2 linked regions of the Rattus norvegicus genome follow. The protein of the gene in region 2 interacts with the protein of the main gene of each other region in a biochemical or structural test. Links are inferred from orthologs where the notes say so. Each region holds a gene or a part of one and is shown on either strand. Other genes may lie near its edges.

Region 1 (3,821 bases), on a different chromosome or scaffold from region 2:
CCGATCCTAGTGGAACAGGAAGGAGAGAGTGAACAGGAAGTAGAGCTGGGCTATAAAGCATCAAATCTACCCCCCGTGATAAACGTCACCTTTCAAGGCTTCACATTCTTAAGGTTGTAGCAACAACACTAGCTGGAGATCGCAAACACACGAGCCTATAGGGATGTGTGACATTCAAACAGTAGCAGCTGACCGATATATCCATGGCTGTTCCTCCCTGGATATGTTTGACGGAGGAAAATACATGCTTCATTATTGCCTTAGTTAGGGCTACCATTGCTGTGATGACACACCATGGCCAAAAGCAACTTGGGGAGGAAATGATTTATTTCACTCACGGTTCCATATGACAGTTCATCATCAAAAGCAGTGAAGGTAGGAAGTCAAACAGGGCAGGAACCTGGAGGCAGGAACTGATGCACAGGCCATGCTCAGCCTGCTTTCTTATAGAGCGCAGGACCACTAGCCCAGGGATAGCACCACCCACAATGGGCTGAGACCTCCCTTATTAATCATTAATTAAGAAAATACCCTACAGGCTTGAGGACAGCCTGATCGTATGGACACATTTCCTTAATTGAGGTTGCTTCCTCTTAGATGACTTTAGCTTGTCTTAAGTTGACATGAAACTATCTAGCACGAATATGATGACTGACACGTGGCAGAAATCAGTGCTGTCTTCAGTCAAAGGAAATAACTACTATTCATAGATACGTCCAGCATTGATTACTCCCCAACTAAAATAAGGCAACATATTCCTTTTGACATGATAAGGTGTGTGTGTGTGTGTGTGTGTGTGTGTGTGTGTGTGTGTGTGCGTGCATTCTGATTCATGCTTACACATTATTAGTAGGAAAAAGAGTCTTTCTTTTACTTACCTAGCATCCTCCCCAGTACCAAAGATTTGACTGCACTGAATTCTGTTCCTGAGGACAAGTAGGTTTGTCTCCTTGTATTCTCATCAATCTATAAAATTATTAGCCATCCAAATAACCATTGTTTTGTGGCAAGAAAAATGAGAGGAAGCAAAGAAAGAAAAAAAAAGGAAATTGTTATTAGGGTTTTATGATAATTTAAGAAAGTGAAATTTAAAGATAACTTAAGAAAGCGAAATTTAAAAACGTAATTCAAAATCGGATGCTTTTTAATCTATGCTTAGATACCTATTCATTTTACCATCGTTCCCTTTAGTGTTTGACCCATCTCCACTACAGAAGAAACCCAAATTTGGTAAGGCCAACAAAAAGACATGTGTTATTTTTTCACTTCAATAATTTTTCTTAGCTTGGGAGTTTTACTGGAGTCATGCAGCTAAGAAATTTTCTTCTATGCAGAGCTGAAACATTAATGGTTTTCTGCAAAAGCTGCTAAGATGAGTAATTCCACTTTGCAGTGAATCACATCCTTTCTTCAAACTTATTCTGATATTTTAGTCATTATTTTCTGTTGTAGGATGATTGCGGCATTTATACCTATCTAAAGTGAGTGGGTTTCCCATGAGGACTGATAGTCCCACCAGTGGGTCTTTGAGAAACTAGGCATCATTTCCTTTCTGAGCAAAATAAAACAGGCAAGGCAAGCGTGGCATTTTAAGCATCCGATATTAATAACACCTCAGAAAGGTTTGCCAAAACCACAAAGAGGGAGTTGGGGAACACCTGACCACATTTGACGAGTTTTATCTATGGTCTATCAAATACCACTGGAAGATGTCCTTACTACTGTGATTCATGATTAACGTTCTGCTCTAGGTGCCCCATGGCAGGGTGTCATGTGACCATTGGAGAATCTCTGTTACCTCCACAAAGACCATCCCTTCTTCTCTGCTGATCTTTAGATGGTGAAGCTGCCCATCGGCCATGCTCTTTAAGTCAAAGCTGATGACATCAGGTTCGTGATACTTATTTAGCCTGTATCTTATCTGCAAACTTCCTGAAGTAGAAAAGAAGTTACATTTTTAGTAAAAATTCCATTTTAAAGCCACTTATAAAACACTCTAGTTCTTTCCATTTTTTTAATATAGTCACTTCCAGAGAAAGATTCACCAGCACTCATTTGGGCGTGTCTCCAAAACCTCACCTCTGAAAGTCAGTTCCTTAATGAAATCACAATATTTTCTAAATCAAGAGTAGACATATTGGTCATGAACTGACTCCTGAAAAAATCTTTAATGTCAATCATATAGGTCAATTCTGACATTATTATGTACAGATCATAACACTAATCTCTACAAAAAAGAAATGCAACCAGAGGTGTTGGTACAATGCCATGTACTGTTCAATGCTGCTACAGCATTCTTTCTACATCACCTCACTTTTTAAAAATATCCTTCTCATATCCTGGAAAGACAACTGAGGGATGGAACTTTGAGCAAATGTAGTTTTACACAAAAACAGAGCTGTTTCCAGGGGACCATGAGTGTAGACTTTGGAAGGAAATTAAAGTGAAATAAATGAGTTTTAGCCAAATTTATTATTCAAATGAATAGTATCCAATTGCCTTCAGACATTTCAATTAATTTGTTTTGCAGAACTCCTCCTGAATTAACCACAATGTATAGATAAACTTTGAGCTTGAAGCTGACACGGAGGGCACACAAAATTACTCCTATGGTGGCAGTCAGTGCCCTTGGGCCATTTGATTTAAGCGAGCCAATGTAGTTGGATGTTTTTCTGCCAGTTTATTTTCCTCACCTGGAGAATTGATTTCTAAAATATCCATCTTTCATCCACACATGAGACACAGAAAAACAGTAGTAAGCGTTTTCCGGTGACAAGATTTCTGTACCAAACACATTTTGTAAGCCATATACCATTACCCTGCATGAATACAGCAACAGTTCTTATGACTACATTATTGTCTGTTAGGCCCAAGAGGTCATCTCCTGGACATTTTTATGCATAATACCGGTCCATTAACACTCCTTGAATGCATTTTATCTTTGATTAGAAGAAAATATGTGTCGCGCACAAGGAGACATTTTATTTTAAAGTAGAACACCAAAGCTGCATCAATATTCATACAAAATACTTAAGAGCTCCTGGCGAAAATAAAATATAAGTATCTAGAGACATGGCTCAGCAGTTAAGCGGGCACACGGCTCTCTGGCAGAGGAGTTCCACTCCAAGCTCCCAGGTCAGGCAGTTCACAACCTCTTGTAACTCCACACCAGTTGTGGCATCACGCGTGTGCATGCACACACAGAAATGGTTTAAAATAATACAAACATATGAAACAAACAATATAGGAGCAACCCGAATCTTACATTACTGATATAAAACTGCCAAAACTATAAAGCCATAAACCCATCTTACATCCTTAAAGGATCCTTTTGGATTCATCTATGCAATCATACTCAAAGTCAAGCCTAGACGTGTGTTTCCTCTCTAATTCTAGGTTAGAGGCAAACATCCCAGAGGGAGGAAATGCATTCTACCGTGCCAGTGTCCAGACTCAATCTTTTGTCTCGTCCGAAACACACTCACCATTTTTGGCAATGATAACCGAGAGATATTCTTTATAAAAGGAACTCATATAGAGCAGCAAGCTTGGGGCCCGTGTAGTTCGGAAGTTAAACTTGACGGTCTCTCTGCCCAGTTTCATGTCACCATGAAACGAAGCCGCGTGGAAGCTGGAGTTCTTACTTAAAGAATAGTTTTCTTGAAAATTGTAAATCACAGAAGACCCAGATCCAAAATAGGCAGAAATCTCTGAAATGGTATGCAGATTGCACGTTAAATTCTTTTAGGTACACGAGGAGCCTGTTTAAGTTACATTGACGGACATTGTTGTAGAATGAAGCACACAGCTAGAAGACACAG
Region 2 (3,821 bases):
GTGATTAGTTGAACTGCTGATAAACCAGGAAAATAAAAAATGCCCTTAGATTGACTTTGATGGAGTTACTCTCCTTCCCCAGGGGGTGGGGGAAGGGAAACACACCCTAGGACAGGCTGGTCTCTGACTAAAACTTTATCCTGATGCCTATCTGTGCTACCCCATTTCCACACACCTCTTCTTTTTCATGTTGAGTACTCCTTCCTCCCAGGAACCCTTGCGGATCTTGTACTAACAAGACGCCATTTTGCAAAAACCCTCTCCAACCAAGCCTCTTCTTACAAAATGTAGACCTGATACAAATTGTGGGACCCCAGTTCAGACTTTCTCAATGAGCACAAAGAGGGCCATGTGCCCAAGAACGCAACTCTCAACAAGCCCTTCTGGTACAATTTAGAAAGCACAGGGCTGCCTTATAGGACTGATAAGTAGTCCATTCTTAGCACCTTTGCTGGTGCCACACCGGAGGAAACCATCATGGGGAGGTGCATAGCGCCCCCACAGACCATTTATCCCATAAAGTAAGTTCCCAAAGACTTGCAAGGCCACAGAGCTCAAGTCTCTCCTCCCCAGGGGCCTGCAGTCCAGCCAGCCCGAACCCATACATACTTACATCTCCGTCCACGGGCCTCTGGTCGTCACAGTCCCTTGTGGGGCTAATGTCCTGGCGCATGACCCAGATGGGCTCTTTGGGTTCGTCGGGGGTGTAAGGCGAACGGATGGTCCTGGTTTTCACTTCTTCGATGGCCTCCTTGATGTCCTTGATGGCCAGCGAGATGGCATCCCTCTTTTCCTTGCTGTACCGCTGACCAACCTCGCTGCCTCCCGGGGTTCCCACAACTCGCTGCTGCTGCCCGGCAGGTGCTGGCAGCCCAGGGCTGTCGGGGTGTCCCCCTCCCGGGGTCGGGGCGCGCTCCAGGTCCTGCTCCGCCTCGGGCATGTCTTCGGCCGCCTTGTCGAGGCTCTGCGAGCTCATGCTCTGCTTGACCTCGGCCACGATCTGGTCGATGTCCTCTTCCTGCTCATAACTGTCCATGCGCGGGTAGGGCGCGAACTCCGCCTCCTTCTCGGGGCTGTCGGACTCGCCGTCGGAGCGCTCGTCGTAGTGGTGCAGCCGCGCGCCTAGGGCCTCCTGGCGGTAGGCGGCCGCCTCGTCGCGCTCCCGCTCATAGAGCCGCAGGCCGTCGCGCGCCTCCAGCTCAGGCGCGTCCCCGATCTCCTCGTACACGTGCTCCTGGAGGCCGCCGTAGTCGGCGTAGGGCTCGGCGTAGGGCTCGTCCTCGGCGCGGTGGAAGAGCCGGTGCGTGTAGACATAGCCCGAGTAGGCGGCGTTCATGGCTTCCTCGTGCTCCAGCGAGTGGAAGTGCAGGTGGTTGGGCAGCGCGCGCCGCTGCGCCGCCTCGGCGTGCTCGGCCTCCGCCTGCTCCGTGTACTCCTCGGCCTCGGGCCGGTACTGCACGGCGTAGGCGCTCTCATCGTCGGCGTCCTGCGCGCGCTCCGCCTCGTAGCCGTCTCGGGCCGCGGCGAGCACGTCGCCCTCAGCGGTGTCCGTGTGGTTGTGGAAGCCGCTCTCGGTGCTGGCCGAGCGAGCCAGGCACTCGCCGCGCTCCTCCTCCTCCTCCTGCGGTGGTGGCGGCGGCGGCGGCGCCGGATGCGCGCGGTGGTCCTCGGGTGCGTGACCTGCGGGCGGCGGGGGCGACGGCTGCGGCTGCTGCTCTTCCTCCACCTCGGGGTGCTCCAGGTCGGCCTCCACGGACTCGTTCACCTCCCCTCCTGGCGCCTCGTCGGCCACCTCCACCTCCGCGGAGCCCTCCAAGTGGTTCATGGTGGGCGTCGGGGGATGGCTGGCGAGAGGCTGCGCTGGCTCACTGTGTGCTCATTTTGGCTTCACGGGGCCTGGAAGAATCAAGGAGAGGAGCTGCTGAGTGGTTCAGAATGGAACTCTGAGCTGAGCATCCAGACAGACATAAAACCACTTGCTATTGATCCCTTCTGAATCTGGGTCAATTAAGGCATGATTGCAAATTTAAGCGTAATCTGACAGCCCTCTTCACACACGTATCGTAATTTGTAATTGCAAATTTACTTGCTTAATTGCTTATTGCCTTCACCCTCCCAAACCTTCAGATAGGAAGCTTTGCGGGCACTTTGTTCTTAGCATATTCTTCTGGTTGCATTTTCTGAGGTCTATGGATAGAATACTACTCAATTGAGTGGGCCCATTGACATATCTGCTCCAAGATAAATATCTCTAAACTAAGATCCTAGAGACTTTAGTAGCAATTCTTTAAATAAATTGTGTGTGTGTGTGTGTGTGTGTGTGTGTGTGTGTGTGTGTGTGATATTGCAATCTTTTTGACGCCATTGCCATGAGTGTAAGGTTCCAAGGAGGCTGGTAATCACCAATAGCCTCTTTGTTCTCTTATATCCAACAAGGGTTTAGCTTTCTAGACCTTCACAAAGACATGAGAGTTCTTTTCTTACATGTAGGGTGAACACAGGAGAAAAATGGAATCCCTAGTTAAAATAACCTTGGGACCAGCTGGGTGACAGTTAACGTTTCACCATGAATATCTGAGGGGAGGAAGTTATAAAGCGCAGGGTTCATTATAACTCATTTGACTCAGAAACACTTTCCCCTTAGAAACCAGAGTTCTGATAAATATACCAAGTAGGTGGCTTCCAGTACTTTCCCCATGTGCCCTTGATCTAAAACCTGGAATTCTGGGAATGCCATGCCATTTGAGGCTAGACTACATGGATAATTTTCAGAATGTATGGGGAGGGAGGTCTCCACCTATTTGTGGGGAACTTGCAGTTAGAGAGGAAGATGGATTCCAACTCTTAATCAATTCTCACCACAAAGTAGCTTTTAAAGGACAGGGAAGATGGCTCTAGTGTGTGCTAGCAATTGCGGTGAAAATAAGAGGACCTGAGTTCAGATGTCCAGCATGTAAAAAAAGCCAGCCATGGCTGTGGATGCCTGTAATTGCAGCGTTGGGAGAGAGGTGCAGGTGCATCCTGGGAGCTTGCCAGCTGGCTAGCCTAGCCAAAATGGAGAGCTTCCAATTCAGATAGAGACTGTCAAACACTATGGCAGAGCATAATCAAGGAAGATGCACATGCTCCTACTCTGGCCTCCAAATGTGTGTTTACTGGTACTGCATCCCCAGTACCCCCTCATACTGGTAAAGCGCGAGAGCGCACACACACACACACACACACACACACACACACACACACACACACACGGGTGTGCTTTAAGCACAACCTATACACAGCATATATAGAAACAGACACAGAGTATAATGAACAAAGAAACCAGGCAGGCTTCTTTGGGTTTCCAGAAGCCTGTGGTAAATGAGCTGTCATACTTAGCTCTGGCTGTCAACTTCACACAATCCTGTCACCAGGAAAGACAGAACCTCGGGTAAGGAATTGCCTAGCTCAGATTGGCCTGCTGCCTTGTCTGGGAGGCCTTTTCTTGATTGCCAACTGATGTCAGAGAGCCCAGACCACTGTGGGCATGCCATTGCTAAGCAGGTGAACCTGGGCTGTATAATAAAGGGGACTGAGCAAGACAGTGAACAGGACTTCTTTGTGGTTTCTGCTTCAGTCTCTTCCTGTGTGTACCTACCTGCATTGACTTCTCTCAGGGATGGACTAGACTGTAAGATGATGTCAACCCTTTCCTCCTCAGTTTGCTTTTGGTCAGAGTGGTTTATCACAGCAACAGAGAGCAAACTAGGACAGGGGTTCAGTAGTATGTTTGGATTTCTCTCATTGTGTTCTTTTGTCAAGTCCTTCATTCAAACGGGCAG

What was found.
Region 1: the proteins of Apba1 (region 2) and Cntnap4 form a complex in vitro, tested with the Homo sapiens proteins (2 studies listed by BioGRID and IntAct, with this or other methods). The link is inferred for Rattus norvegicus from reciprocal best matches to the Homo sapiens genes APBA1 and CNTNAP4.

What each region holds. Positions count from the first base shown.
Region 1 is NC_086037.1:57,732,743-57,736,563, reverse strand, and holds part of Cntnap4 (contactin-associated protein-like 4 precursor), read right to left. Parts: intron 3,711-3,821; coding exon 3,486-3,710; intron 1,933-3,485; coding exon 1,799-1,932; intron 967-1,798; coding exon 879-966; intron 1-878. UniProt on the Homo sapiens protein: Presynaptic protein involved in both dopaminergic synaptic transmission and GABAergic system, thereby participating in the structural maturation of inhibitory interneuron synapses.
Region 2 is NC_086019.1:230,926,127-230,929,947, reverse strand, and holds part of Apba1 (amyloid-beta A4 precursor protein-binding family A member 1), read right to left. Parts: intron 1,897-3,821; 5' UTR 1,826-1,896; coding exon 614-1,825; intron 1-613. UniProt on the Homo sapiens protein: Putative function in synaptic vesicle exocytosis by binding to Munc18-1, an essential component of the synaptic vesicle exocytotic machinery. May modulate processing of the amyloid-beta precursor protein (APP) and hence formation of APP-beta.